Linked DNA regions of Tamandua tetradactyla. The protein of the gene in region 3 interacts with the protein of the main gene of each other region in a pairwise test. Links are inferred from orthologs where the notes say so. Each region holds a gene or a part of one and is shown on either strand. Other genes may lie near its edges.

Region 1 (8,502 bases), on a different chromosome or scaffold from region 3:
CCACCTAAATATCTCAAACAAGCTTTTATCTTTTTAGCCCTGAAACCCACACCCTTAATTAAAAGCAACACTTAAATAAATTAGTTTTCTTTCTTATCAACCACCTACATATAAATTAGTCAAAAGCTTGTTACCCTGAAAGTATTGATAAACTAAGTTCCTGATTTGAGAATCTTCCAAAAATGTAAACAAAATGGTTTTTCATCTACTCTTGGCCACTTCGTCAATACAAACTAAGCAGAACACTTAAACAGAATAATAATTCATATGTCTGCAAACAAGCCTCCAATGTCATGAGAATTATTTTCCTATACTGAAAGTGTTGGTAAGAATAATTGTGTGAACAAACAAACTCACTGTCTTCGTGGGACATGACTCCCAGAGGTGTGGACCTTCCTGGCAATGTGAGACAGAAATCCTAGAATGAGCTGGGACTCAGCATCTAGGAATTGAGAAAACTTTCTCAACTGAAAGGGGGAAGAGTGAAATGAGACAAAATAAAGTGTCAATGGCTGAGAGATTCCAAACAGATTCGAGAAGTTATCCTGGAGATTATTATTATTATGCATTATATAAATATCACCTTTTTGTTAAGGTGTAATGGAGAGGCTGGAGGGAACTGCTTGAAAATGTAGAGCTGTGTTCCAGCAGCCATGTTTCTTAAAGATGATCGTACAATGATATAGCTTTTGCAATGTGACTGTGATCGTAAAAATTGTGTGTCTGATGCTCCTTTTATCTACCTTATCAACAAACAAGTAAAACATATGGATTAAAAATAAATAAACAACAGGGGGAACAAATGTTAAAACAAATTTAGCAGAATGAAATGCTAGTGATCAATGAAAGGGAGGGGAAAGGTGTATGCTGTATATGAATTTTTTTCTGTTTTCTTTTTATTTTTCTGAATTGATGCAAATGTTCTAAGAAATGATCATGATGATGAATACACAACTATGTGATGATATTGTGAGTTACTGATTATATATGTAGAATGGAATGATCATATGGTAAGAATGTTTGTGTTTGTATGTTGCTATGTTAATAAAAAATAATAGCAATAATAATTCGTGATATTATAAAGGTTGTGCGGAATACCCAAATGAAGCCCTAGGCCCCAAGCTCTGCTCCCCACAAGAGCCTAGTTGACATAATTCATTATCCTTAAGAGCATCACTAATGTTCACTGAGGGCTTACTGTACTTTGTTAAATATGTTGCCTCCTCCAATCCCCCTCCCTGCAACCTGAGCTTGCTCTTGGCCTTTAGGAAAAGGAGGTCCACCCTCATACAGCAGAGTACTGATCTGATCTCTTAAGAAACCAGTTTTTAAAGATCAAAATCAGATTAACATACCTCCTTGGGGACAGATGCCTTTTCTCTCAAGCCAATGGGAAAGTTGGCACACACAAGACAAGGCATCTTTTAAAAGAACTTACCCATCAGCTAATCCTCATACTGCGGCTATCTGTATTATATCTATATATTGATCTATAGGGATCAATAGAAGCATATTACTCTTGCAACGTCTGAAAATGTGATTAAGACAGTCTGAAGCCCCATTCCAAACAAGCTGATTAGTCTTTGAGAAGTCTGACTGATGAAAAAGAACACTGTAACCGAATCTAACATATCGCAATCTGTATAATGTGTTAACAAAAGGCAACATGCTCAACAGCTGGAGAAAGAGATCCTAAGGGCAACAACTTGTCAGCATTTACTCAGCCATATTCAAGGAGGAATGTGCTGGCAGTCAAGTCCTCCTGTTTTGAGAGAGGTAACTTCAGCATGGGGAAGAGGCAGGCCAATCAGCACCCTATTTTTCTACACTCTGGATTCACCCTTTGCAGCAACCTTCTCATCATTAATCTAGTCTTTCACAAAAGGCAGTGTCTCTGACACTAGACACAGGTTTTCAGTCATGATAAAGGTATTTTCCCCCAACATAAGTAATAAAATAACTCCTGCCTGGGTGGCTAGCATTATGCGAGTTCCCAAGGCCCTGATTCACTGAAAGGTGACCTTGCAGACACTAAAAGGGACTTCATGGAGGACCTCAGGATCTCTATGACAGCTCTAATTTCAAAAAGGTCACAGGTTATATCTCTAAAGATTCTTAGGGTTTCTTTTTTTTTTTTTAATTTGCTAGTCTTGGAAAGAAAAGAAACTTAATTGGTGACATAGCCAGAGGAAGTAAAGGAAACATTGTGTCTGAAAATATGTCAGGGACAAATGAACTGGCATCAATCAGGTCCTTTCTATTTTTACTACTTCAATTCATATTTTTATTATCTTTCATTGGGACTCCCCAAATTGCATCCAACCCAGATTCCCAGATACATTATTCTCTCTCTCTTTCTTCCCTCCAGATCTATTTTTATATGCCAGAAAAGACTCTGAAAGTACAACTTTGACCACATAAGCTTGGAAACTTTCAAAGAGTAAACAGTACATGGAAATAAATGTTACTATAAACAACATCAATGAAAAAAATTGAAGTGCCTCCCAACCCCACCAACATCTACAGTAGGTTGAAACATATTTCTTCTGCGAAGAGCTACAAGCTGCCAATCATATTAGACCCAGTCATGGATCCAAGACATGCTAAAATATGAATTACCTAGGACACTGAAAACAGTTGCTTAATAGATAAAGAGAATCCGCGTTATATTTGCCTTTGCTTAAAACCGACCCTGAAAATACAGGTGCAATACAGGAAAGACAGGATACGTGGCAGGGAGAGATCTGCCACAAGATAAAATTATAATTGGCCCAAATGAAAATAAAAAATGGGATACTGGCCTCTTTAGTTTTAGACGCAAATAAGATTTAATCTCAGGGCGCATGTCCACAGGCCTACTCGCCCCGGGAGCACTTTCCCCCTGGGCTCGAACCTGGGTCCGCCTAAGCCGCTACTATATTCTCACCACCCTTTTGAGTTAAAGCAACTAACCGACTTGACTGCCGCTTCCTGTTCGTCCACAGCTAGGGCCCACGAGTCGGTGGCCATGGTCCTAAGGGCGGAAGGCAAACACGAGGGAATACACAAGGACCACACGTCAGCACCAGCCCTAAACCATCCGCGGGCCAGAAAACGTCTCTCACGCGGACCGGAAGCAGCAGCGCGATAAAGTGACGTCAGGCCCGAGAAGCCGCCATTCCCCGCCCGCGGCTAATCTCCGCCCTCCCTCCTCGCTTGAGAAACTCGTCATTTCCGCCGGATTTAGCGAGGCGCTTCCTCGTTGTACCTTGAAGTCCTATATCTCTGCTGAGTAAAACTCTTCTCTCACTTCTCTCTGAAGTTTTAGTTGTAAAACTACCACGTTTCATAGTAAATGTAGAGTCTCTGAACTGTGATGAAATTATCTAGAGGAAGCCCTGGGACCACTTCAGAGCTAAAAAATAAAAAAAAAACCAAACCATAAAAACCATGCCCTACAAAAGAATAAAACAAAACAAAAACCCAAAACCATGCCCTACTTACTCTTTGACCTCCTTCTTCAGTTTCCTTTTGATATCTTTTGAAACTTGAATCCCCACTAAGGGGACCCAGATAGCGATTCAAGCATCTAGTCTTTATATTTTACCCAATACAAAATAATGTCCACCTGCCCCAAACTGGTCCATATATACTTGAAAAGCCCCTGTCCAATCAATAAGAGTCAAGCTAACTTCCGTTTTGTATCTATAAAAAGGCCAAGAAGCTCCCAGCTGTTTTCACTTTTGCAGGTGAACTGACTGACTTGTTGCTGTAAAACTTTGGATGTCTAAAATAAAATGCTATAATCTGCACGCTCAATTCTGATTTGTGTTTTGACAACTGTAAAGCTTTATACAAAGGAAAGCTACATGAAACAGAATACCATATGATGCTAGTTTCTACTCTTAGAAGTGATAACACATAAGAAAAAATGGAAAACACACACACACCACTTCATCCCCACAATCCCATCATTTCTATAAACACACGAACAGCATTTTTTTCCTTCTGGGTTCTTCCAGTTTTTGTCCATATGCAACATAGCAGGGGTATTTTACACAGTCCCCCAAAAAGTATACATACAATTTTAAATTTAACATTATAAGACTACGTGGTTTCTCATGTCATTATTAACCATTTAGTTGCTTCTGATAAATATTTTTGTCTCTCCTTGAAAGCATATGAAGTCTTCAAAAAGAGCAAAGATCTCATCTGTCTTGGTCACTGCTAATTAGTAAACCCGGGAAAGTGCCTGGCACATACAATATTTATCCTTTTGAGTCAATAAATATTAATTTATTATTATATTAGCTTTTTATATAGCAATAAATAGCTTTTTATTTAAGATGTATTACTCCAGAATAAGTTTCTATACAGTGGAAGAATGTGTCAAAATAAATGCATAACTTGAACACACTTCAAAAATGAGAATATGTCAATAAGTACATGAAAAGGTGTTAAAACCATTAGTTATTGGGGAAAAGTAAACCAAAGTCGCAGTGAGATACCACTACACACCACTAGAATAGCTAAAATTAAATATTTACATGCCAGGTGTTGAGAAGCAGGTGGAGCAACTGGAACTCTCATAAACTTCTAGAGGGAGTGTAAAATAGCACAAGTTTTGTAGAACTGTGTGGCAATTTCTCAAGATGTTAAACATGTACCTACTGTATGACCCATCAATTTTATTCCAAGAGAAATGAAAAGATATGTCCACAAAGAGACCTGTACACAAATGTTTGTAACAACTTTAGTCATAATAACCCAAAACTGAAAACAACCCAAAATGTCCATCAACAGGAGAATGGATAAACAAATTGAAGTATATTTGTCCGATGGAATACTACTCAGCAATAAAAAAGAACTACTGATAACACATGATGAAACAGATGAATTTTACAGACATTATGCTACAGATAACAGACATGAGATAAATTCTGTCTAATTTTATTTATATGAGGTTCAAGAATGAGTAAAACAAAATCTATAGTAATTTCAGAACACTGGTTGCCTCTGGATGGGGTTAAGGTTGTGTTTTGGGTTGCTAAAGCTGGTGGACTGCAATACACCAGAAATGGAATGGCTTTTATAAAGGAAATTTATTACATTATGAGTTTATAGTGCTAAGGCCATAAAAATGTCCAAACTAAGGCATCCCGGAAAAGACACCTTGACTCAAGCTAGGTCGATGTCTGTCACACAGGAAAGCACATGGCTGGCATCTGCTGATTTCTTGTTTCTGCTCTGTTGCTTCCAGCTTCTGATCCCAGAGGTCTCCTCTCTAAGTGTTTATGGGCCTTCAAGTAGCTCCTCTGGGACATAACTCTGTGTTCTGGCTTGCTTAGCAACTCATGAGAAGGTACATGGCGATGTCTGCTGGGCTCTGCCCATGTCTAGGTGTCTGCTCTCTCTATTGGTGCTCCAAGCATCTCCAAACATCTGTGTTACTGTCAGTTCTGAATCAAGTGTTCTCCAAGCATCTGCAACTGAGGTTTCTTCAAAATGTTTCCCCTTTTAAAGGATTCTAGTAAATTAATCAAAACCCACCTTGAATGGGTGGAGTCACATATCCATCTCATCAAAAGGCCACACCCACAACTACATGTGTCACATCTCCATGGAAACAATTCAGAGTTTCCCACCCTAAGCAATAGGTCTGGCTCCACAAGATTGGATCAGGATTCAAACATGACTTTTCTGGGGTACATAACAGTTTCAAACCAGCACAGGTGGATAGGACATAAGGGAACTTCCTGGGAAGATGGAAATGTTTTATATCTTGAATTGGGGTCCTGGTTTCATATAACATTTGTCAAAATACGTTATCGGTTTTAACAGTATTAACTGTATCTTTAACATGTCGCTTTATAGTATGTAAATTATACCTCTCAATGAAGTTGATTAAAAAGCAAAAGAGGAATGAACTACTGCTACACTCAACAACATGGATGAGTGATTCGCAATCTCAAAGACATTAGGTTTGAGTGAAAGAATACAGACACAAAAAGAGTACACAGTGCATGACTCCATTTGTAAAAGTTCAAAATAGGTATTTCTAATCTATAGCAACAGAAATCAGAACGATGGTTGCCAGGGCATGGGCTGAAGTGGGTAGGATTGATTTTGAAAAGGAGCACAAGTGAACTTTCTGGAGTGACGAAAATGTTCAAACCTTGATTGGGGTGGTTGTTACTCAGGTGATGCAATGATCAAAACTCATGGAATTGTACACCTAATATCTGTGTATTGTGCTTAATATAATGTATATGTCAATTAAAAATAAGACAATTGCTTTAGTTTCCTGGCTGCTAAAAGAAATACCATACAATCAGTTGGCTCAAAATCAGAAATCTGACTCATGATGTCAGAAGCTAGAAGGCTTGTTTCCTCTCGGGTTCGATATCTTCTGGCTGGCCGACAATCGCTGGAGTTGTTGGCTATACTGTCACATAGACACACATGTGGCAGTGTATTCTTTCTCTTCAGGGTTCTGTTAACTTCCAGCTTCCGGCTGCTCCCTGTGGCTTCTCTTTTTTTTTTTTTTTTCTCGTTGACCTTCAAATTTTATTGTCACTAGATTGTATTTGTTGAAGGGAAGGGATCCTGAATGAATGAATGGATCTATGATATTTTGTTCATCTCTCAAACAAAATTGGGAAAAAGGTTCACATTGTTATTCCATCCAGGATCTGTATCTGATTCAGAGGAAGCCAACCACTGCTGCTGGGGGATGCTATCCTCCAGGACAATGGCAGGATATGGGCATGGAGGGAACCATGGTGGGTTCGGGGTCCAGTGTGCCCAACCTGGCATCTTCTGGTTCTTCTTGGGGCCTGAGGATTGTGCAGGTTTGGAGTTTGAACACGGAAGGTGGAACACTGGCCATGTTCTCATGGGGACCACCTGTGGGCTTCTTTGGTTTCTGAGTGTCTTCCTTCTTTACTTCCTGGGAGTTTCTAGTTGTTTCAGGTTGAAGGTTTGGTTCCTCCATTTTGACCTCTGTGTTTCCTCTGGAGACGTTTTTCTCTTCAGCCATAGGGTCTAATCCAGGGTGTGCAGAGCAGGCCCTTATTCCTGTGCTGTGGGGATTCAGGTAAGAATGGAGGCCCCAAGTATGGAAATAAGTCCTCTTCTTACTGCTGCCTGGAATGCTGTGGCTTCTCTTTTTACGTCCAATTTCATTTGTTTATAGTGATTTCAGCCATATTGGATCAAGGCCCACCTTCATTCAGTTTGGGCATACCTTAACCAATAACATCTTCAAAGGTCCAATCTACAATGGCTTCACATTCTAGGCCCAAGGTTGGGATCTGACTGACCTTTTGTGGTGGACATGATTTAATCCCCAACAACAATGTAATGAAAAACAAAACCAAAGCTTAAAAAAAGTACAGGTGGTAATAAATTCATTTGTACTGTGAAAAAAAAAGAGGGGAGGGGGTAAGAACGTTTTCTCAGCTCCTAACAACTCATCAAAACAGAGGACCTGCATATATAGACACACACGCACAGCTGCTGAAGGATATCAAATGATATCTTGTCTTTGCATATGACAAGTCTAATTCCTAGCATCCTCACCACCAATATGCTACTGCCTTAAGATTACATACTTATCAGGACACAGTGCCATGTTCTCACTCTACATCAGACAACAATCCTGTGGAGATGGCTAATTGGCTTCCTGGGTAGAATGATGGTCCTCTGGTCCTTATTAGCTGTATTAGTTAGGGTTCTCTAGAGAAACAGAATCAACAGGGAACACTTGCAAATATAAAATTTATGAAAGTGTCTCACATGACCGTAGGAATGCAGAGTCCACGTGACCGTAGGAATGCAGAGTCCAAAATCCACAGGGCAGGCTGCAAAGCCGATGACTCCAATGGATGGCCTGGATGAACTCCACAGGAGAGGCTCACCAGCCAAAGCAGGAATGCAACCTGTCTCCTCTGAGTCCTCCTTAAAAGGCTTCCCATGATTGGATTTAGCATCACTAATTGCAGAAGACACTTCCCTTTGGCTGATTACAAATGGAATCAGCTGTGGATGTAGCTGACGTGATCATGACCTAATCCTATGAAATGTCCTCATTGCAACAGACAGGCCAGCGCTTGCCCAATCAGATGAACAGGTACCACAACTTGGCCAAGTTGACACCTGTCCCTAACCATGACATCAGCCTAATCATCCCTTTTCAAAAAAAACTAAATTTCTGAGGCACCTCTCACCTTTTCTTGTCTCAAACACCTACATCCCAAAGCTTCTCATCAAAAGCAAAAGCAGCAACACCAGAATCTCTCACAACTGTGAATCCTATGGGGCAGGAGTCCCTGTTAAGAGCAGAACTTGAAGTGTGCATGCCCGTAGCTCTCTTTTGATTGCTACTTCCTTATGAAGCATGACTGCTCTGGGATTGAGGGGCTGACTCCTGTAGTGCTTCCACCAAAACAATTCCTAGAGCTAAACTTGGTCTCTGGGGGAATTAGGGTAGGATTTTTGCATGCACTGGATTTGTAGGGCATT
Region 2 (7,582 bases), on a different chromosome or scaffold from region 3:
TTGTCATCAGCTGGACAGGCAGGGAGGGGCAGCTGTCAGAGGACAGCTCTGCCCAGCACCGCCCCACAGCAGGGTAATCACAGGGCCAAGTGCCCGCCCCCCGCCCCTCACCTCTGCGGTTGGGCTGCATGGACTCCCCGCGGCGGCTGGCCCCGTCCCGCAGGCTCGGTGGCACGTACTTCCCTGTCTTGCTCTGGGCAGCCTGCACAGGCTCCAGCTCTGGGGACCAAAGGCACAGGGCTCAGAACAGGAGGCTGGTGGCCCTGGCCCAGGTGGTCAGTTGGTCCTTCTAAGGCCCTGAGCTGCACTGGCCGCGCCAACACCAGGGTCCCATCCAGACAGTAGACGCCTTGCACGTACGAACCAGCTGGGAGCACTGGTGGAGCAAAACTCCACAGGGGCTGAGAGCTGAGGACAAGCCCACGAGGACAGCAGGTGCAAGCACACATGCACACAGGTAGTGGACGGACGACACCCAGCCCTCACACGGCAAGGGACAAGTCCATCTCCCACACAAGTCAGACACAGAATCCCCTTCAGCAAGTCGTGCACAGCCACACTGGAAGGCACATGTGAGTGCACACGTGTGCATGGCCGCGGATGGGCGGCGGGGTGGGAGGGAGCTGCAGCCAGTAGCAGACAGACTCACGCCGCCATTCACCAGCAGAATCACAGCCATGAGACCCCACGCACACAAGGACAACAGTGCAGCACGCATGCGTGCAGGAGCACACTCGACCCCCGCTCCCGACCCCCCTGACGGGAGAGACATGACACTGCAGGCCCAGCATGCCCCTCACCCAGCACACACACGGATGGCAGCCGGAACCTGGCAGTGCTGACGCGGCACGGGGGAGAGGACAGCCAAGGAGGAGGTGCCCCCTGCTCCCAGACCCGGACTCCCCCCACCGCCCCACCACATGCCACACGGCACCCTCCCACCAGCCGCACCCCCAAGCCCGGCACCTCCGGGCAGCTTCTCCTTCTCGCCCGTGGACAAGCCCAGCTGTTCAGCCAGCTCCTTCTGCATGGGCCCCAGCGTGTCCTTGTAGGGGCAGCGGGTGGTCCAGTGGTCGCCCTTGCATATGCGGCAGGACACGATCTTCTGGCCCTTGAGCTTGTTCATCGGGTCTTCCTCCTCCTGGCAGTTCAGGTCCTGGCAGGGGCGGGCAGGGAAGCTCAGGGGCACGGCCATAGCCCCACTGCCGGTGTCCTCCCCGCCCCACCCTGGGCACCGCCCCATCCTGGCACCCCCTCCCACGTACCTCTTTGCTGGTGATGAACGTCATGGAGACATCGTCGCTCACCGTGGTGGTGGCCACATTGGGCCCCGGGGGGTCAAACTCGGAGTTCCCAAACTTCTTCCAGTTCTGAGCTCAGGGCAGGACGGGGTGGGAGTGGGGTCAGGACCAGGTCTGTGGGGGCCCACACTGGCACCTCAGACCTCCCACAGCCAGCCCCAGGGGTGTCGGGCCTTCAACCCTGTTCTTGCTCTCCCTGAATGCCCCCCACTCCCCAGTAACAGTGACAGTCCTCATTTCCCAAGTGAGCCCCCAGCCCTGCCTCTCCACCAGCTCCAGGGGGCTGGGGCAGTTCTCAAGTCTGTGTCCCAGATGAGAAAACAGAGGCTCAAGGGGCCAAGAGGTCAAGAGGTGCACAGCCGACAACGCCTCATGCCCACATAGGGTGGTGGTCCTCAAACCTGGCCCCCATCAGGGAGGCAGCGAGGCTCAGGGGTGGTTCTAAGTAGGGGTCTACAGGGTCACCCAGGCTGTGAAGGCCTTGGGCTGCTTACCCCGAGCCTTAGCATCCTTCCCTGTAAAATGGGAACTACAGAGAGCACGGGTGGTTCAGTGGTAGAATGCTTACCTTCCATGCCGGAGACCAGGATTCAATTCCCAGACTGTGTGCCCTGCCCCCACCCCACCCCCCCAAAAAAGGGAAACCACAAACAGTTGCTTTGGGGATCAAATGAGAAAACGCTCCCTGCAAGGACACGACTCGGGATCTGGTACAGAGAAATTGCTCAGCAAACTGTGCCAAGGGTATTTACTACCATTGCTTCTTCCTGGAGCACTCGGCCCCGGGTAAATGGGAGCCACAAAACTACCTCCAAGGAGGGTTTGGCTCTGTTCCCATTAGACAAGACGTGAGGAATAAAAACCTAACGCCACCCACTCGTGCACTGGACTCTCCAAAGCCCCAACAGGATGCAAACATGCCTAGGCCTCTGTTCTGCTTCAACAAAATGGGTACAAACAGGCAAACCCCACCTCTGGAAACAAACACTGAGGGGGAAAAAAAAAAAAAGGACTCCGGTCCCTGTGGAACCCAAATGATGGGGGCAGGAGTGTCTCACCTTCCTCCTTGCAACAGCCTTTGAGGCCTTCCGGGTCTCGATCCTGAAGGTGCGGACAATCTGCAAATGGGAGAGGGTCAGGCTTCCTGTGCCCCTCCTGGGGTCAGAGTTCTCCCACCAGCCCCATCCCAGCTCCTGGTCCGAGGGCTGTAAGGAAAAGGGTACCACCCCTTCCTGCCAGCCTCACCTTGAACTTCTTGCCATCCTCATCTATCTTGTATTCGGTCACTGTCTTGATGTTTCCAGTGATGACCTCTTTGGGAGGTGGCAGTGGAGCTGAGAAAGAGGAGGAAAAGGTGAGGAGAGCTGAACCCTGCCTAGATAACGCAGACCGGATGGGAAAGGTGCTGGAGGGGCACTCACCTCCTGGCAGGAGCTCAGGTTCTGGGCTGGTGTCACCGGGAGTCAGCGGGATCCCCTTGAGGAGCTCGCTGGTGACACATTTGTCTGCAAGAGGGAGCGTGGGGAGGGAAGGTCAGCTGGGGAGGGGCTGGAGTCCCCAAGCTGAAGTGGAGGGACCTTTGGAACGACGCCCACAGCAGGAGCAGAGAAAGGCAGGACCACGGGCAGAGGGCTGGCTAAGACACTCCCTGGGGAGCAATGTGGGGACAGGGACAAGGGAAGACGAGCCTCAGCGCCGCGGCGTGAAGATCCCCACCTCCCCCACTCATTGCTCGCAGAGAAGCAGGAAACTGGCTACTACAGCCTCTTGTCCCGAGCAGGGCAGCAGCTGCCAGGACTCTTGGGCAAAAGCCGGCCGTAATGGGAGATGCGGGCTTAGAGCGAGGTGCAGGGTGCGGGGCCGGAGCCAGAGGCTGTGACAGGGCCGGGGGAGGCCGCGGGGCCCCTGGTCGACTGGGGGTTCTCACCGTCCTCTCCTTCCTCCTCGACCTGGTCGGCCCAGCTGGGCTTCGAACTGCCGAGACAAAGTGTGCGGAGCGGAAGGATGGATCAACGAGGCCCGGCCCCCCGCAATACTCCTCTGAAGCGCCCAACCGCCTCCCGGGACCCCCTCCGCGACCCCGACTCACTCAAAATCTCCGGTCGGCATCGCACAAACTTCTCCCCACGCAGCCCGAGCCTGGGCCAGAGAGCGGAGGTGGGGGAGAGCGAGACTTCCGGTTCCGCCGCCGCCTAGAGCGCCAGGCCACGGCGCCTACAGCGCCCCCTGCGGATGGAGGCGGAGGCGCCGACTGTGGACGCTGCGCATCCCCTGTATCTTTAAGTAATTTTAATAAAATGTACTTTAACTTTAATAAAATTAGAAATGTTAATAGTACCAAAGCCCATTTATTGAGCCGTGTGAGGGGCACCTTGAGGAGGAAGTGATCATTTCCATCTTGCTGCTGAAGACACCGAGGCTTAGAGATGGTCCATCTCTGCCTCTAGACCCTGCCCCCTCAGTGGGCAGGGGGTGAAAATTGGTTCTTGGAGAGGGTGGAAAAAACCTGACATATGACAATGGTCTGTGGCCCTCCCAAGCCAACTCTGTGGCACAAACTCTTATTCCGAAGGATTTGATTTCTTGCATGCGGGAGGAATTAAATGTCGTTGAAATTGAAACCGAATTCATTGATTTAAAGCTTCAATTTGTTACTTTTTCTCCTTAGAAGTGAGATGGAAAAAGCTGAGAAACACTGCTCCAGAAGGTCAGCTACGGAAAGCAGGCATTTGCTGCTAGGTGCTCGTCTGGGTCCCCAGCACCCATAAGATGTGTCTACATAGGAAGTGCCCAGTTCATGGGCATTTTCGGGAGGGGTGAGAGCCAGATCACAAAGGACTTTTTAAACCAGACTAACTAGTTTGGACTCGTTGTTTGGGCTGTGGGGTGTGGGCAAAGGCACTGAAGCATTTTGAACAGGTAGGCCCGACGGGACCAGGTTTTACTGTGAGAAATATTATTCTGGAAGGTTAAGGGTTGGGGAGGAAAGGAATACATTAGTAGGAGACCAGAAAAGAACTTGGGTGAGAGAGTCAAAGAAAGAGGGGTCCATCAGCACAGGCTTTCAGGACGGTAGTCTGGCAACATGGAAGAAGATAGAAGGTTTGTCCAAAGGGCCGGTAGCTATTTGTACAAACTTATTCAAATTTACCCCTGAGAAAAGCAAAATCCAAAGAACCTAACAGGTGGGCAAAACTTTTAAAATTTGATTTTACCCAGTGGTGGTTAAGATTGAGAAACAGACGGTCACACATATTGTTGGTGGGGTGATATGATGCAAACTCTTCAGAGGGGAGTTTGGCAACACTTTTCAAAACTTAAAATGTATGCATGAATTTTCCTTTGAGTCAGCTAATAATTGAAGCCATGTGTGAACTTCTAAATGTGTGCCAAGATGTGCGAACAAGATGCCTGTGCAGTGCTGTGCATGATAAACACAGGAAATGCCACCAATAGGACTGGTTAAATAGATCAGCTTTGTGTTAAGCCACAAAGCTGTGAAATGCTGTGCAGTCTTTAACGGGTAGAATGATCTGTACTCATGTAAAACAACCATCAGGATAAGGGATGAGGGCAGGGGAGAATGCATGTATGATCTGATTTGTGTTAATCTTGGAACATAGATATGCAGCTATATGCTAACCATTTTCTGGAAGAAAATATCTGAAACTTGCCAAAGGATGCCTTTGGAGAAATGCGTCGGGGGCAGAAAACTTTTTTGGGGACTTTTCTGCTATACTTTAAATTTTTTCCATGTTTGCATTATTTTGATTTAAAAATTATATACATAAATACAAGAATATTCATTTTATATGTTTTATGTATTATGTAATTTGTATGAGCTGCAACACGTACGTGTATTTTTAATTTCTTTTGTGTATCCACTAGCTTGCATTCCCACTTCTACGACTGGCCTAACAGATTCGTATTCGGGTGTCTTAAGTTTCGTGTAAAACAGCGTTCAGCACAATAGGGTTTAAAGGACCAGAAAATTGCAAACAACCCAACCATCATTAACAGCAGATTAGTTCAATGTTGGCTCATCCACCCGTTACTGTCCTGGGAGGAAAAATTGTGCACATTTGTGGATGAACAGAGCTGCCGAGAAAGACGTTAAAACCCAAATATTGGTGTTTGAGAGTATTTTGATTTGATCTCGTCTTTACTCCTTTTTTGGAATCTTTCTGGGTGGAATATTTTTTCTTCAACATCGAGCATGTATTATGTTTTACAAAAAGTCAGATACTTATGAGGGAAAACAGAAAAGGGGGCCTAAGGCAGTGTAGAGCAGTGGGGAAAAGCTCGAGTCCAACGGTGGAGGGGCAAAAACTGCCCCCTCTCCTCCAACCCTTCTCGAGTATACTTTCCTGAGTGCCTACGTCAGGAGCCTGCCAGGGGTCCAGCTCTGGACAACAAAACCAACCCCAAGAAGCCATCAATAGGGAGATGAAAAAAAAAACATGTGCTGAGCCATCCCTGCCTACCCTGCAGCAGTTTAAAGGGGATTATCTAAAACTGACAAATGACGTGTGTATTAGCTAGGGTTCTCTAGAGAAACAGAACCAATGGGAGATATCTGTAAATATGGGATTTATAAAGGTCTCTCAGGAAACCGTGGGAATGGAAGAGTCTGAAATCCGCAAGGCAGGCTGTGAAGCGGGCGGCTCTGATGAAGGGTCTGGATGGACTCCCATTAGGAGAGGTTCACTGGATGAAGAAGCAGTGAAAAAAGTCTCTCTTCTTTCTTAAGAGCCTTCAACTGGTTGGATTATCCCACTGGTGGGAGACAGGCCTTAGTTGAACGCAGATATAATCAGCCACACACTCAATCAACTGACGGAAGATTTAATACACCAGCCTTCTGGTTTAGCAGCCAGCCCTGAAATATCCTTGTAGCAACGGCCAGGCCAGTGCTCGCCTGACCAGACAGCTGGGAATCATCATTTGGCCAAATTGACCCCAGAACTTAACATCACAATATGGAACTCCACTTGGAGGAATTCTCCTTAAGAAATGGGAAGATGCGGCCATAAAAAGCCACGATGTAGATGTAGAGTATGCGTGGAGTATTCCTAGCAGCTTTATTTACAATGGCCAAAAATCTAGAAACAATTCAAACATCCAGCAATTGATAGATGGAGCAGCCAAGATGAATAGTGGTCCATCCTTACAGTGGAATACTATACAGCTATAAAAAGGGACAATCCACTGTTTCATACGATTGCATGGATGCATGTTACAATAGTAAAGAATATATACGGAATGATTCCACTTATGTGGAGTTCTGAAACAGGCAAAATCAATCTATAATAACAGATATTAGCACCGCTATTACATGGGGGAAGGGGTGTTCAGGGTGATTTTTGGAGGAGCTGCTGGCAACCTTCCGGGGTGATGGGAATTTTCTGTTTTAATCTGGACGGTGGTTACATGAGTGAATACACAAGCAAAACTAAAAATGTTTCAGCTGCATACATAAGACCTGTGCACTCAAGTAAGAGAATCTGGAACAGAACATCGCTATTTTCTCCTCCTTGTTTGTAGCACGTATCACGCTCAGCCACCACTGCATACATTTGCTCAGCTCGGGAGCCCAGGACGGCAGTTCTGGTCTGTTTTCATTGCCACACACCCAGCCCCAGAACCATGACTGGGGCAGTCGATGCCCAATCGAGGGTTGTATGAAACTGTTTAAGTTTTCTGCTCTTGGTCAGAGATGGCAGAAACGTGAGTGTGAACACATCTGCGTGACAATAAGCACTTGTAGTGGATGATAGGGTGGTTAAAGGGGCCTTCCTCGTGCAATGAAGTGTGGAAACAGATAAGGACCATTGAGGTTGTAGTGTGATCCGCTGTGCTTTTCTGTCGTTTGCATTTCTTTGAAAACTCCAAACATGGTTGAGGGAGAAAAGCAAGGTGAGCATATGTACAGCAGAATATCATTTGTGCATTTTTTAAAGACACAGATAATACTCAGCCATGGTCATGCAGATGTAGTAGCTGTCAAAGGACAAGGACCAGGAGACACCCTAAATGTCTTGAGACTGTTTGCGTCTGAAAAAGTGCCAGACAGGGGCCTGGCAGGCATATAAAGGGAGTTTCAACGGTGCCCTGAGTAGTTATTTCATTAAAAAACAATCCAAAACTGTTATGATACGTTTCACCCCCTAGGAAGGCTGGTTTTTTTTTTTTGTTGTTGTTGTTGTTTTTTAAGGAAAATAACAAGTGCTGGTGAGAACTGGAGAGATAGGAGCTCTCCTGTATTGTTGGTGGGAATGCTA
Region 3 (7,465 bases):
TCCTCGTAGGGTTGGACTTGGAGAGAGAAAGGCCACATGTGAGCATATGTGGTCTCCTTTTATGAAGCCTTTCCTCAAGTGTCTGATCATTGGTGCAATCCCAGAAAGCAGCAAGGGAGATTTGGGTGTATGGGCAGGCTCAGTGTCCAGTGGCCTTTCCTTAGGGGCCATCCCTTTCATGGTGCCCCTTGGGGCTGAATCCTTCAGTTAGACTGCAGCATTCTGGGAGCCAGGTGGGGGCGAAGGGTCAGGGTTTCTCCCTGTTGAGTTGCAGACCTGCCTTCAGTCACCCATCTTCAGTGAGGTCCTCACCACACCCTCAGCTAGGTGAAGCCAGAGCCCTTGTGGTCTATTTCAAATAATATATGCTTAATAGAAAGGTACAAAGATAACCAAATGCCCTGTGATCTTCTTGCGTAGATTTTGCCTATTGATGGTTAAGACAGGTTAAATATGTACATGTGGCAAAAATTTCAAACATAAAATGGTTTATAGTAAATCTCTTCCTTCCCTGCACATTTATCTGTGCAGAGATAATCAGCTATTCTTCATTTCCTGTGTATCCACTGAGGATAATCCCAGTGTCCACAAGCAGCCATGTCTGTAGATCTCTCTGCTTCCTCTACATACAATGTGCCCACTCTTCTGCATCTTGCTGATGTCATTAAACTATGTTTTGGGGATTATTTTATATCAGTCACGTAGGTCACTTCATCCTGTTTTAGCAGTTACCTCATGTTCAAGTGGGTGCACACTTGAACATAAAATGATAGGTTACATAAAATGATAGTTTATGTAACCTATCATTCAAAGATGGAGATGGCCTCTTTGTCTTCCACAGGCTGCTGCATGACTATCTTTGGATACGTCCTTTTGTGCACATGTGGGTCTCTCAGTCATGTAAATTCCTAGAAAGGGAGTTGCTGGAAAACCCTGTCCTTTAAATTTTTGTCCATTGTTTTCTTTCACTGTCCCCTTGGTCGAGTTTTTGGAGTTGGGGAAGCACATGTGATGGGTTGTGTTCTAGGGCTGAAGCTGCTGCCCTAGCTCACACTGCCTGTGTTTGTCTGTCCAGGTGTATAAAACCCTCCGAGACGCCGTGGTGACGATGTACAGGACTGAGGGCGCCTTGGTCTTCTACAAAGGCTTGAATCCCACCTTGATCGCCATCTTCCCCTACGCAGGGTTCCAGTTCTCATTTTACAGCTCTTTGAAGCATGCATACGAGTGGGCCATGCCAGCTGAAGGAAAGAAAAATGGTGAGACCTTCCTCAGGTGAAAGGGAATCTGTGTCTCCATTCCATCTCCACCCACAAGCTATAAAATCTCTTTCAGACTCACATAGGAAATACATTTTTCTTGTCAGGAGAAAACCACTGAAACACCACTCTTGTCAGGAGAAACACCACTGTTCTCTGTACCTGGCTTTGTAATGCAGCCAGTAAAACATACGAGCCCAGTGACCTGCAGGTGCCTTTTTTCTTATAGCTCTTGCCATATCCATCTTGGCCTCACCAGCATTCAGTTCCTAGGATTGGTCATGGTTTTCCTTTTGTAAGAGGTCCAATTTACAAATTGCCTGGATTTGTTTTTGTTTTTGTTTTAATTTGAGCAGATGGGGCAGGGCATGGGGGTCCTGTTCCCTCTCAAGTCTTAAACTTGTACCACCTTGCTGAGCATACAGGCCATTCCTTGCCTCTAGCTGGGGAGATTACTATGCAAAGGCTTACATCCTCCTGCCACCAGCCAGTCCGGTCTGCAGTCCCTTAGCATTCTTGCCAAAGGTGGTTATGTCGCGTTCACTCTTTTCTGGGTTAAACTCCTCTAATATCAAAGGGTGCTTGCTCAGGGGGTTTTGTTTATGGTACAGGATTAGACAGACCTGATGACCTTTAAGCTGTCTTCCAGAGATTACATTTCATTCCATTTTCCCCTCACTTCCACTTCTTTGGTTCAGGGAACCTCAAAAACCTGCTTTGTGGCAGTGGAGCTGGAGTTATCAGCAAGACCCTGACGTACCCTCTGGACCTCTTCAAGAAACGGCTGCAGGTCAGGGGCTTTGAGCAGGCCAGAGCTACCTTTGGCCAGGTGAGCCATCCCCCTGCAGACAACTCTGACCCTTGCTCCTCACTGGCCACAAGAAGGAGCCAAGGTCAACTCCTGCCTGGTTGTACAGTGTTAGCCACCATGGCCCTTTTACCTCCAGCCTGTCCTCAGGGACCCCCGAGCCCAGGGGAAAGCCACATGCAGAGCCCCATCTGATACGGTACTGTGGGAAGATCCAGGGGAAGAAAGATTCACAATCTCTGCCTTTAAAAAGTGTCTAGTCCAGTTTACAATATAGAATACACTCACCTAAGAAGGGTCCCCCAAATATTAAAGTGCTTGAAGAAACTCACACTAGTACATGGGGTGCCTTCCTTTATGCTGTAGGTGTTCTTTTATGCTGAAAAGGGGAAAATTAAATTTGAGCAACTAAATTATATTTCAGATACACGAAAAGGCTTTGCCATTTAGAGAAACCCTGGGTAGGTACATTTTGTAATGTTAATAGTCATGTCCTGCTCAGTGTGTTCATATTATCCTGTTCTGATTTTGTGAAAGACCACAGTGATGATCTGTGCCAGGTGGAGGAGGCAGCAGGGGTGGAAGTTAACCATGGGGGCATGAAAATACAGGCTGCCAGATGCCAGAGGAGGACAGCGTGAAATGAGAGGCAGGGAAGGGACAGTGCACTTCACTTGGGAAAGAGAAGAATTTGGGTTTATAATTGTGTTTAGGTTTTCACAGAAATAATATTTTCTTTGTAGAAAAATTTAGAAAGCTCAAATAAAAGGAAAGATAAAATCACCTATAACCTAACCACCACCCAGAGATAATCACACAGGACTTTTTGGTGTAGTAATTTTTTTATTTGCATAGATAAACACGTGTATGTTTTAACAGAAAGTGGGATTATACTGCATACAAGGTTTTGTAATCTTTTTACATTTACCAACTTGTCCTGAAAAGACAGTTTGAATTTGGACAGGGAAGAGGGTTAGAGAGAGAGAGGCCCCCACCTACTGGAGATAGTAAGAACAGACTTGGCTGGAGGTAGGCAGGGTCAGGACCAGGGGGAGGTGAAAGAGTAAGGTTGAGGTCAAATGGTAGAAGTCCTTGATGCTTTATGATGTCCTCATAGTTGTCAGGAGTTACTGAGGGTTTTGGGCCGGAGGGAGGCACAAAATGGGGCTCTACTTGGGGGCCACAGGACTGGCAAGCTCACTATGGAGTCAGCTGCCAGAGGTGAGACTGCAGCAGGGTGGGCAATATGGAAGGGGCAGCCCTGGCCAGGCTAAGGGGTAAAGAGGACCAGATTCAGACTTGTTGCCCAAGTGAGGCCAAGATGCCTCTAGGATGTGGGTCCGGAGCTATGGGCCTGTCCTCACCTGTCCCCATAAGAAGGAGCTCTGTCCAGGTGCTGATTCCCAGGCACTACACCAGTAAGTCTGGGTTACTCCACTGGATTACTCTCTTTACTTTTGCATTCATTCTTTCATCCAGCAAATATTTATTGAGAACTATGATGCACCAGCGGCTGTGTTGGCAGAATAATAGAGCTGGCTGTCCATACTTTAGTTGCCTCCTTGTCCTCAACCAGAGTGACCCTTCTCTCTCCAGGTACGGAGCTACTCGGGCCTCCTGGATTGTGCCACGCAGGTGCTGCGAGAGGAAGGTGCCCAGGGCTTCTTCAAGGGCCTTTCCCCCAGCCTTCTGAAGGCTGCTTTCTCCACAGGCCTGGTGTTCTTCTGGTATGAGCTCTTCTGTAACTTATTCCACTATCTGAAGAAGGCAGACAGCTAGCTTCGAGGGCAGGAAGGGCAACCTCCTGAAAGAAGGAAGACTTGGTCTCCAACCTGGTATCACACTGAGAGGTGCTGCCCGGCACCCCCTGCCAGCCTGGGGAATGAAGAGCCTTTAGGAGCAGGATGCAGCCTTAGTCCCCCCTGCTGGGACACCACCAGGACAGGGGCTTGCTGGGAGAAGGCAGGAATTGGTGTGTGGGCCGCAGTGATATAAAGCGCAGAAGAAGGTTGATGTTGTCATTTCTCCTCTTTTTAACCCACATTTGAAAGGAAATGGATACCATCCTATACTTCTTAGCCGCCTCTGCCAGGAGAACTCTCCTGGGTCTGAAAGGGGCTACAGTTCAAATACAGAGGAGGGGGGTTTAGGCTTTTTGCAGGGGTGTGTCCCCATACTTGGGCAGTTATTCCCACCAGTTTAATATACATTAAAGTTTAAGGCACATGCCTTATATTCCCCTCCATCTGTCCTGACAGATCACATGCCACATCCCTCTTCACAGAGTATTAGGGAAAGGATCTATAGCTCTGCTTCTAGTTCTGGGAGAAGAATCCACATTCGTCTCCTAGGTCTGCCTTAACAAATCATTACAATCTGAGGGACTTAAAACAACAGAAATTTATTCTCTCAGTCCTGGAGGCCAGAAACCTGAAATCAAGGTGTAGGCAGGGCTGGGCTCCCTCCAAAGGCTCTATGGAACAATACTTCGTTGCCGCCTCCAGCTTCTGGTATTTTCTGGCTGCCCCTGGCATTCTTTAGTCTGTTGCTGTGGCACTCGGGTTTCTGCTTCTGCCTGTACAGGAGCTTCTCCTCTGTGTGTCTTTGTGTGTCCTCTCCTTATATGGTCACCAGTCATCCCAGCCTGACTTCATTTTTTCTTTGCAGGTGACTATACCTGCAAAGACCCTGTTTTCAAATGAGGCCACAGTCTACAGTCCTAGGTGGATGTGAATTAGGGGGGGATTCTATTCAACCCATTCCACCCCCGCACTCCTGGATCCCTGTGTCTGGGGCCAGGACTGGTCATAGGCATGGGCCTTGGTGGGTTTTCAAGGGAAGCAGATAGCAGTGGCCTGGGAGGAAGTGGAAGGGGTGTGCCAGCATCCACACCCTCAAGGGGAACTCCATAGGGAGCCTGCTGGGTCTGCAGGGTGAGCTCTGAAGGTGGGAGCCAGGATGGGGAGCAGAGCTGATTTCCGCCTAGGACTTTGACCTGAGCCCTGGAGCCCTGGGTTGGGAACCTCTCCTTGCTCAGCTTTACTCTGGCAGCTACACTGCCTTGGAGTCGAGACTCCTGCTGGGAGCAGGCCTGGGGGTGGGTGTCGGGGCCTTTGACCCCATGGATGCAAGACCCCTTCTTTCACTGTTGTCCCTGTGCTGTCGTGCCTGGTCTGAGTCTGTGGTATGTCTGGTATCCTGAATGCTGAAGCTTCTGCTGCTCTTGGCTCCTGATTCTGGGGACCCAGGCTGCTGCTCAAGGCCCTTCTCATGACATGGGGCAGCAGGCAAACAGGCCTAGGTCATGGGTTGTAGGGAGGCAGGGACTTGAATGTATTTTTTTAAATGAAATTATAGGCAGTTGATTGAAGTAAAGTTTATTCTCATCTCTCCTGCTCCTTGGCTTTTTTGCTGCAGCTGAGATTTTGCAGCCGCATCCATTTCTCAGTGACCGCTTGGCCTTTTTAGACCATGAGAAACTGCCATCAGCACATCTGGTCTAAACTGATGGGAAAAGGAAGCAATTGTTTTCCACCCTTCAGGGTGCTCCTTGTGCAATCCACGGCAGACCTCAGGCTGCAGCCTTACTGAGGTCAGCCGGCCTCTCTTAGTCCTGGCCAAGGACAGCCCCTTTTAAACTTATTTTGTTTATTTTGTAGAAGAAGGGAATAATGGGATTCGATCCAGCCCTGCCAACTCCCGGCCTTCTCTACTTTGGGGGTGGGAGTGGGGCAATGTGGCTATCCCCTGTGAGGTCCCTGCCCATCCAGCCATCTCTGCCAAGCCTTTCGCAGGCTCCTCCTCCGCCATGCAGACTGGGCCTCAGACCTGATTAACCTGAGCCTTTGGAGTGGAGGGGAGAGGTGACCGGAGTGCCACTGAGGGCTTCACGCACACCAACGAGCCTGTCCAACCCGACGCCGACGAGCGGCGGGGTGAGAGGACAGGGCAGGGTGACCTCATCCTGGGGCAGGGTCGTTGTCCCGGATGTCCCGCGTGACAACCGGCTAGGCCCCACGCAAGGGGATCCTGCCCTCTGGCCTGGTGAGGTTGCGAGAGCGGGGCTCCGGCAGGTGGCGCTGGCGAGGCGGCCTCTGGCCCCGCCCCCGGGCCGGCGGCGCCGAGCTAGGAAATGACCTAAGCGGCGGCTCCCACGGCGCCGCGGACGCGGGGCGCGCGCACCCTGCCCACCGGGCAGTCCCCGGGCACGCGAAAGCTGCGCGGCCCCGGCAGGTGGGTCCCGGCCCTGTGCCGCCAGAAAAGGGCGTTTCGAGGCCCGGGAAGCCGCCGAGGTCTGGAGAGCCCTGAGGCGCGCCTCCTTTGGCCTCAGGGGAGGTGGCCACCAAGTCCAGCAGGGGATCCCAACGCGGGTTGTCTCTCGGGGACATAGCATCCCGGGCCCCCCCTTTAAGGGGCAGGACACAGGGTGGAGCTCAGGGAGTAGGAGTCCTGGGTGGAGGGTCCGGACGCTGCCACTCGGGAGGCCACTGCAGCCCGTGGGTCCCCGGGGAGAAGCGGGCCAGAGAAGGAGAGCTCAGGCGCTGGACGGTCGGGGGCGGCCGGGAAGGCTCTCTTGCATCCAGCCGTGCGGGCCGGCGACCCGAGGGGACTGCGGAGGACCCAGACTAAAGCCCCCAACCCCATCTCTTGCTGGGCCAGCAGCTTCCAGTCCCATTTATCCAGGCTGGACAAGTCTCGGATACACTCCTAGCTCCCCGCAGCCCTGAACCTCCCTTGGTATCACCTGGGAATAACCCTGCGTCCTGCCAGGACTGGAGGAGAGATGCCAGTCACCCTTCATCGCCATACTCTGTTGTAATCTCAGAAGCTTGCGGTTTCCTAAGATGAGCAGCAGGTGCCTGGCTGGTGCCCGACCCGGCAGGACGCCACTGAATGCCAGGGAGAGCTCAGTTGCATCAGCCTGAAGTCTGGCCAGCCCCACCCAAGTCCTGCTGGTTTGGGAGCTTTGCTCTCTCCCTTTGCTGCTCCTCTCTCCCAGGTGCTGTCGTTAGTCCCTCCCCAGTCAGGAGCTGCTGGGGTTGGATGGTCATGGGGGAACCCAGTAAAGAGGAGTATAAAATCCAGTCCTTTGATGCAGAGACCCAGCAGCTGCTGAAGACAGCACTCAAAGGTGAGCATGGTGAGCTCCTCCTGAGAAGGCGCTGGGGTAAAGTCAGGTCAGGACCAGGGCCCTGAGCCTAGGAGTGCAGCCTCTGTTTAGGGACCAGGGGAATGCTAGCCCTCTCGCTCTTCTTCCTCCTGTGAACCCATCAGCAACCAAACTTGTAATCTGAACAGCGTGCTACATTTAAGCCAATATTGGGGAATATGAATCTAGAATCACCCCTGTGGAAGGGGGTGGGCTCAGAGAATCAACCCATAGTTGCTACCCCTTAAG
Region 4 (8,257 bases), on a different chromosome or scaffold from region 3:
TGTAAAATGGGCTTAGGATATTTATTTTTTCGTTCGCTAACAGGTCAAATGGAGGTGGGTGAATAGTTGCTTTGGGAGCCTCCAAAGGAAGCCTTCACTGAGCATACCATTATCATTTGTCATCTACAATGGTGCTTTTTAAACTGTAAGGTGCCTTAGGGATCACCTGGAAATCTTAAAATGCAGATTCTGATTTAGTGAATGTGGGTGGGGTAGGGACGAAGAGTCTGTATTACTAATGGGCTCCCAGGTGATAGCTATGCTTGATGTCCTGCCAGGAGGGGGGGGGGAATCATTTAACAATAGCTAGGGAGTACTCAAGGATGAGCCTATGTGTTCATATGTAAATATTTATAAATTTGGTCCACTCAGGGTGTATGTGTGTGTGAATTCTTCATTTTATTCACCAATAATTATTCACCAATAAATATCTATTAAGCGTTGGTCCCTGAGAATCAAAATTAAGGAAAGGCGATGCTGCCCGGCGGTCACAAAGCCCCGAATCTAGTGTGCAAGCCAAACATTTTCAAAAGATGACAAAGTTACGCAAAGACGCCAGCTGGGGCCAGTCTTTTGCCCCAAGGTACCCAAGCGCGCTTGTTCAAAGGCTGTACTGTTCCCTCAGCTGATTGGCTGGCAGGTCAGGCTTGCAGGCCTCAGCCAATGAGGTTCGAGCCCAGACAGTGTGGCCAGTGGTGTTGGAGTGTAACCGCCATAGCGATGGCGGGTGCTGCTGGCCACGTGAGAGGCTGGGCCCTGGGAGGGTTTGCACTTCCTCTGCCCGTGGGCGATGTGAGTATCCCTGAGGGCAGAAAGCTTTTTTTTTTTTTTTTTTCAGACTTAGGCATCCTCCTCGACCCCAACTTTTGGGTGAGGGCAGAAATAATAATAATAGCTAACTAATATTTATTGAACTTTTGCCATATGCCTGGCGCTGGGCCAAAAGCCTTAACTGTGTGGTGTCGCTGAATCTTTGAGCTCTGGAGGTGGGTACATAACTGCGTGTTCATAGGAAACTGAGGCTGCGCGAGGTCACATGGAAGTAAGTGCAGGAGGCTGAATCAAATCTAGATGATCGTAATTCCCCTCGCACCACTCACTCCACACCCCACTTTGGAAACCAGGTTCTTTCTCAGCAGGAGACTCATGTTGTGCCGGTATGTTCGGGATGGACGTAGGAGAATCTAGAATCTTGATGCTTGTTCTATGTATTGTTGTTTGTTTAGTAGAGAAAAAGAACACATGGAAAAGGCAAGCAAGAGAATAAGCACCAAATTCAGGATAGTTGTTATATCTTATGATGTGTATAGAGGGGGCTTCAGTTGACTCTTAGTTTACTTTCTTAAGTCCTGTCATGGGAACCTACATGTTTATCATTCCCTTTCTTGTTGATCTGGAATACTTTTAATTTTAAAAGGAAAACATGCACGTGAAAAAAAAATTGAGGATGAAGTGTACACTAGGGAAAGGAAGTCTTCTCCCATCTGTCTTTTAGAGCCTCCCACCAAAGCAGCCAGTTATCATTTTGTGTGTGTTTATCTATGCATTGTCTATTTTATATGCCAGCATATGTGAGTTTTTCTTGTTTTCTGCACAGATAGGGCCTACTATATATAGTCTTGCCCGTTGATGATTTAATTTTAAACCTCATTAAACTTTTTTTGAAAATTCCTTAACTTCCTTTAGTCCTGTGAAGCAGTGTCATTTCTCTGGCAAAGTATTCCCACGGGTTGCTTCTGAGTTGTGATAGGATAAGATGTAGGTGATGGTTCCCAGGCTGTCTGCCATTTTTTGTACATCCTCGCCTGCAGAGTCCAAAAAAAAACACTTCCCCAGATTACCCCCCCTAAATGATGCAGGAGAAAAAAGCAATTATGGCAAGTAGAGTATTCTCTGGAACTGCTTTACCTTTCCTCAAGACGTTTTTACTCAAACCCTACAGGTAAATTCCACATAGAGCCCCACTATTAATTTGAAATTGACTTATAGTGGAATATTGGCGAAGTGAGAAAAGCTGGGATTGATTTTCTCATGTTACAGTAACGTGCCCGGGTTCTTTCTAGTGAAGTAATAAGGAGAAAGAAGCTTGTTTGATTTCAGTTAGGGAAAAGCAGGTGTCCTGGCCTGCAGGGGCCTTTCTAGCCAATTGACTGGAAAGCACTAGGCATGGAATGGGACATGAACTTTATTATAGTAATTTAATTACAGGAGTGAAAGAAAGAAGTCAGTCTGGAAATCAAGCTCTTCTATACCAGCAGCCGGTATAGAGCTCAAGGTGAAAGTGTTTCACAATTAAGTGGGAATTAGCAGGACCAGTTATAGGGGCCCAAGACAAAGACAGCAGAGAGGACTCAGTGAAAAAGATTATAGGGAAACATGATTATCAGAAGGGAGGGTAAGGTACAAATTAACATTTTACACAGAGAGGGGGCTGGGTTCTTGAGTACATTGATCAACTGCACATTCTTCCTTTGTAAAGAGGTTAGCTGAAACATTAACAGACCCAGGCCGTGCAAGCAGCTGCGTGCTTTAGAGTGTCACAGACACTCAGGGAATGGCTCTGCCCCTGGGCTTCCACGGCAAGGGTCGCTCAATCCTTCTACCTCTTCTAAAAACTCATGTTATCACAAGTAGTGTGGACAACCAAAGCTATAGGCTGAGCCCCCAGTCTTGGGGTTTGTTCATATGAAACTTAACTCTGCAAAGGATAGGTCAAGCCTACTTAAAATTAGGCCTAAGAGTCACCCCCAAGAGAGCCTCTTTTGTTGCTCAGATGTGGCCTCTCTCTCCAGCCAACACAACAAGCAAACTCACCACCCTCCCCCTCTCTACGTGGGACATGACTCCCAGAGGTGTGGACCTTCCTGGCAACGTGGGACAGAAATCCTAGAATGAGCTGAGACAGCATCAAGGGATTGAGAAAAACCCTTCTCACCCCCAAAAGGGGGATGAGTGAAATGAGACAAAGTGTCAGTGGCTGAGAGATTCCAAACAGAGTCGAGAGGTTATCCTGGAGGTTATTCTTATGCATCAAGTAGATGTCATCTTGTTATTCAAGATGTAATGGAGCAGCTGGAGGGAACTGCCTGAAAATGTAGAGCTGTGTTCCAGTAGCCATGTTTCTTGATGATGACTGAATAATGATACAGCTTTCACAATGTGACTGTGTGATTGTGAAAACCTTGTGTCTGACGCTCCTTTTATCTACCTTGTCAACAGATGAGTAGAACATACGGAATAAAAATAAATAATAGGGAGAACAAATGCTAAAATAAATTTAGTTTAAATGCTAGTGATCAATGAAAGCAAGGGGTAAGGGGTATGGTAGGTACAATCTTTTTTTTTTTCTTTCCTGTGTTCATTTTATTTCTTTTTCTATTGTCTTTTTATTTCTTTTTCTGAATTAATGCAAATGTTCTAAGAAATGATGAATATGCAACTAAGTGATGATATTGTGATTTACTGATTATGTATGTTGTTTCTTTATTTTTTTAATTAATAAATAAATTTTCAAAAAAGAAACCAGATATTTATAATCCATATTAGATGTGATGATGGGATTACAAATAAAAAAAATTTAGTTTGAAATGCTAGTGATCAATGAAAGGGAGGGGTAAGGGGTATGGTATGTATAAATTTTTTTTTCTGTTTTCGTTTTATTTCTTTCTCTGAATAGATGCAAATGTTCTAAGAAATGATCATGATGATGAATATGCAACTATGTGATAATATTGTGAATTACTGATTGTATATGTAGAACAGAATGATCAAAATATAGGAATATTTGCATTTGTATTGTGTTTTTCGGTATTTAAAAAAATAAAATAAAGTAAATTAAAAAAAAATGATCATGGTGATGAACAAACTACTATGTGATGATATTTTGAGCCACTGATTGTACACCATATATGGAATGTTTGTATGTTAAGGATGTTTGTTTTTGTATGTTGTTTTGGTTTGTCAATAAAAAAAAGAACATTCAAAACGGTAAATAAATAACATAATATTAAAAAAAAAAACTCGAATTACTTCTTTTAAAAAATTCCCTCAGTCACACAGCCCTTAAGTAGGAGAATAGGGATTCTAACCTAGGCACAGCTCACTCCTTTGCCTGTTAAGGTGCCCTACCTTTTCTTCCACCTCATACCTGCCTCTTCATCCCTTTCTCTGGTCAATGCCCGCCTCCCCTGCCCTCTGTCCTCCCTAGTGTCTGTGCAGTTCTACAAATCCACCACTCTTTGTTATGTCTTATCCTCTTCCGGGCCATTTTTTCCCTTGCACCTTCCTGGAGTATTTTTAAAGATTAAATTCCTATAAGTGGTGTTGCCACATTGTGGGACAAATACTTACCAAGTGGTATTTGAGAGAACTGATTCCTAATAATTCTGGTCAACACAAGGACCTTTTAAATTACCCGCCTGAAAAGTGGAAATAATATCTACTTGTTTCAGCATGCATTTTGGTGGCTGTCTGCAATGGTTGTTTTCTGTTTTACTACATTCAGTTTCTCTGAGTATCTTCTATGCCACTGTGCTGGGCCGGAATATGGTTTTATTCTTTGGATAGACAACCAGTCGTTTCTATCCAAAGCTTGGGAGCTTGGGAACTTTTAGATAGCTATTTCAGGCCGCGGTTCTGGACTTTTGATAGGAAAGCTTGAGCTGCGCAAGGGAAAAGAGTGCCGGCCTGGAGGGGACACAATCGACAGCCCTGAAGGGGCGAGAGACTGCCTAACCGGCGCGGACCTTGACGTCACCGCAAAGCGCTGCTTCCTGTTCCCAGCCCCTTGGCGAATGACTTCCCCTGCTACGGGGTTGAAGCCTGACTTACCAGGATCCCCCGGAACCCACGATCGCGCCGTGCCATCCTGCGAGTCCGCCAGGGCAGGGGTCCCACCCGCCCCTGGGACTATGGCCACCGACTCCTGGGCCCTGGCAGTGGACCAGCAGGAGGCAGCGGCTGAGTCGGTGAGTTGGCTTCAGTAGTAAAGGAGTCAGGGGCCAGTTCTGGACGGGGATTTAATCCCCCAGGGAGTAGAATAGGGATGGAGCCTGGACCCTAAAATGACTTTGTTTACCTATCCGTACTGGAATAAGGATTGATTGTAGATTGTACTCACCGCCCCCTCCCCCCGCCCTGGATTGCAGTTACCTTTGTATATGTCATCCTCCACCTCCACATTCTGAGATTCTTAGGGTCAGAGACCATGACTTACTCAAATTATTGTGTCCCCTCAGTTTGCTCAGTGATGATGCATTATTGACTCAGTAGGTCTGGTAGTCAGTAAATCCTCTTCTGATCCACTTAACTTTGTTCGATTTTCTGATTCTGACACACAGTAAGCAGAATATGTCAGGTATTACTGTATAGATTTCACTTCTCCAGGCTGAGTAACCTAAGTTCTGATAGTGCTTTGAACTAACTTCTGTTAGTCCTGTTTTCTGTGACTTCCTCCAGAATAAGGGCCTTGTCTTATTTTTTATAACATAAAAAATGTTATACATGCACAAAGTTTAAAGAGTCAGATAGTTTTATAAACAGTGGTTCCCACCACCACCGATTTTCCATCCTCCCCCCCCCCCCAGAGGAGAGGCAACTACTTTTTTCTCTTGAAACTGATTGACAGTATCTACCACCTTTTTCTCTGAATAACATGCTTGTTTTGTAACTTTCTTGAGTTTTCAGTTTTCAGTATTTATTGATTTGGGCTCTTTTTCTTCCATCCTTCCTCCCTGACCACACATATATACTCTCCCATTCTCCATCTTTTCAATGTATTATATTGAAATTTTAGTTAGAGCATCGTTAGATCAAGAGGCACTTGCCTTTAGCCTCTCTAATACACCTTAAACTCAAAAGGGGATATCTATAAAATGCGTAAGAATAACCTCCAGGATAACCTCTTGACTCTGTTTGAAATCTCTCAGCCACTGACACTTTATTTTGTCTCGTTTCTCTCTTCCCCCTTTCAGCCAAGAAGGTTTTCTCAGCCCCTTGATGCTGAGTCCCAGCTCATTATAGGATTTCTGTCCCATGTTGCCAGGGAAGTTTACACCCCGGGAGTCATGTCCCATGTAGAGAGGGGAAGGGCCGTGAGTTTGCTTGAAATGTTGGCTGAAAGAGAGGCCACATCTGAGCAACAAAAGAGGTTCTCTGGGGGTGACTCTTAGGCCTAGTTTTAAGTAGACTTAGTCTATCCTTTGCAGGGATATGTTTCATATGAACAAACCCCAAGATTGGGGTGGGGGGGTGGGGCTTGGCCTCTTGGTTTGGTTGTCCCCACTACTTGCAAGAATATTGAGAATTCTCCAAATGGGGAAGTTGAATTTTCCCCCTTTCTTGCCATTCCCCCAAGGGGACTTTGCAAATACTTCTTTATTCACTATTCAAATCGATCTTCTATCTTTCTTTCTGGTTTCATTTGTGCCCCAGGTCTCCTCCTTCTATCATTCTCACATTCAGCTTCATTAGGTGTTCTAACATTATTGTACTACAATTAGGTAGTATTGTGCTGTCCATTTCTGAATTTTTACAGTCAGTCCTGTTGCACAGTCTGTATCCCTTCAGCTCCAATTACCCAAAATCGACCCTATTTCTATCTCCTGATAGCCTCTGTTAACTCAAATTCTCCAAGTTCATTCATTAATGTTAGTTCAAATCAGTGAGACCATACAGTATTTGTCCTTTTGATTCTGGCTAATCTCACTCAGCATAATGTCCTCAAGGTCTATCCATGTTGTTACATGCTTCATGACTTTATTCTGTCTTACAGCTGCATAATATTCCATCGTATTTGTATATCACAGCTTATTTAGCCACTTGTCTGTTGATGGACATTTGGGCTGTTTCCATCTCTTGGCAACTGTAAATAATGCTGCTATAAACATTGGTGTGCAAATATCCGTTTGTGTTCTTGCCCTCATGTCCTCTGAGTAGATACCTAGCAATGGTATTGTTGGATCATATGGCAACTCTGTACTTAGCTTCCTGAGGAACCACCACACTGTCTTCACAGCAGTTGTACTATTTGACATTCCTACCAATCGTGAATAAGTGTACCTCTTTCTCCACATCCTCTCCAGCACTTGTCATTTCTGTTTTTTTTTGATAATGGCCATTCTAGTGGGTGTGAGATAATATCTCATTGTGGTTTTGATTTGCATTTCCCTGATAGCCAGGGAAGTTGAGCATCTTTTCATGTGCTTTTTAGCCGTTCGTATTTCCCCTTTTGAGAAGTGTCTGTTCATGTCTTTTGCCCATTTTATAATTGGGTTATTGTGTTTTTGTTGTTGAGTTAAACAATCTCTGTATATATTCTGGATACTAGACCCTTATTTGATATATCATTTCCAAATATTATCTCCCATTGTGTAGGCTGTCTTTTTACTTTCTTGACATAGTTTTTTGATGCACAAAAGTGTTTAATTTTGAGGAGTTCCCATTTATCTATGTCTTTCTTCAATGCTCGTGCTTTGGGTGTAAGATCTAGAAAACCACCTCCTATTAAAAGGTTTATAAGATATCTCCCTACATTTTCTTCTAAAAATTTTTATGGTCTTAGATCTAATGTTTAAGTCTTTGATCCATTGTGAGTTAATTTTTGTATAGGGTGTGAGATATGGATCTTCTTTCATTCTTTTACGTGTGGATATCCAGTTCTCCAAGCACCATTTATTGAAGAGACTGTTCTGTCCCAGGTGAGTTGGCTTGACTGCCTTATCAAAGATCAGTTGACCAGGGTGTGCTACGGTGGCTCAGCTTGCAGAGTTCTCGCCTGCCATGCTGGAGACCAGGTTGGATTCCTGGTGCCTGCCCATGTAAAAAAAAAAACCAAAACAATTGTCCATAGGTGAAAGGGTCTTTATCTGAACACTCTATTCTATTCCGTTGGTCAGTATATCTATCTTTATGCCAGTACCATGCTGTTTTGACCACTGTAGTTTCATAATACGCCTTAAAAGTCAGGTAGTATGAGACTTCTGACTTCATTTTTCTTTCTCAGTATATTTTTAGCTATTCAGAGCACCCTGCCTTTCCAGATAAATTTGGTTATTGGTTTTTCTATTTCTGAAAAGTAACTTTTTGGGATTTTAATTGGTATTGCATTGAATCTATATATCAATTTAGGTAGAATTGACATCTTAACTATATTTAGTCTTCCAATCCATGAACATGGTATGTCCTTCCATTTATTTAAATCTTCTGTGATTTCTTTTAGCAATTTCTTATAGTTATCTTTGTATAGGTCTTTTGTATC

What was found.
Region 1: the proteins of MIF4GD (region 3) and ATP-dependent RNA helicase DDX19A interact in binary tests that used the Homo sapiens proteins (3 or more experiments, as listed by UniProt). The two-hybrid records come from large-scale screens. The link is inferred for Tamandua tetradactyla from reciprocal best matches to the Homo sapiens genes MIF4GD and DDX19A.
Region 2: the proteins of MIF4GD (region 3) and EIF3G interact in binary tests that used the Homo sapiens proteins (3 or more experiments, as listed by UniProt). The link is inferred for Tamandua tetradactyla from reciprocal best matches to the Homo sapiens genes MIF4GD and EIF3G.
Region 4: the proteins of MIF4GD (region 3) and ATP-dependent RNA helicase DDX19B interact in binary tests that used the Homo sapiens proteins (3 or more experiments, as listed by UniProt). The link is inferred for Tamandua tetradactyla from reciprocal best matches to the Homo sapiens genes MIF4GD and DDX19B.

The regions. Positions count from the first base shown.
Region 1 is NC_135342.1:68,590,774-68,599,275, forward strand, and holds the start of ATP-dependent RNA helicase DDX19A, read right to left. Parts: upstream 3,129-8,502; 5' UTR 3,010-3,128; coding exon 2,953-3,009; intron 1-2,952. UniProt on the Homo sapiens protein: ATP-dependent RNA helicase involved in mRNA export from the nucleus.
Region 2 is NC_135337.1:91,611,340-91,618,921, reverse strand, and holds the start of EIF3G (eukaryotic translation initiation factor 3 subunit G), read right to left. Parts: upstream 3,481-7,582; 5' UTR 3,411-3,480; coding exon 3,391-3,410; intron 3,276-3,390; coding exon 3,229-3,275; intron 2,807-3,228; coding exon 2,723-2,806; intron 2,636-2,722; coding exon 2,547-2,635; intron 2,420-2,546; coding exon 2,360-2,419; intron 1,371-2,359; coding exon 1,266-1,370; intron 1,157-1,265; coding exon 967-1,156; intron 220-966; coding exon 112-219; intron 11-111; coding exon 1-10. UniProt on the Homo sapiens protein: RNA-binding component of the eukaryotic translation initiation factor 3 (eIF-3) complex, which is required for several steps in the initiation of protein synthesis.
Region 3 is NC_135332.1:15,678,705-15,686,169, reverse strand, and holds the start of MIF4GD (MIF4G domain-containing protein), read left to right. Parts: upstream 1-4,192; 5' UTR 4,193-6,002; intron 6,003-6,189; exon of another isoform or gene 6,190-6,300; intron 6,301-6,307; exon of another isoform or gene 6,308-6,892; 5' UTR 6,893-6,960; coding exon 6,961-7,198; intron 7,199-7,465. Other genes in the region: SLC25A19 (mitochondrial thiamine pyrophosphate carrier), read left to right, coding at 1,076-1,259, 1,958-2,088, 3,664-3,846. UniProt on the Homo sapiens protein: Functions in replication-dependent translation of histone mRNAs which differ from other eukaryotic mRNAs in that they do not end with a poly-A tail but a stem-loop. May participate in circularizing those mRNAs specifically enhancing their translation.
Region 4 is NC_135342.1:68,643,083-68,651,339, reverse strand, and holds the start of ATP-dependent RNA helicase DDX19B, read left to right. Parts: upstream 1-4,753; 5' UTR 4,754-4,793; coding exon 4,794-4,967; intron 4,968-7,657; exon of another isoform or gene 7,658-7,697; intron 7,698-8,257. UniProt on the Homo sapiens protein: ATP-dependent RNA helicase involved in mRNA export from the nucleus.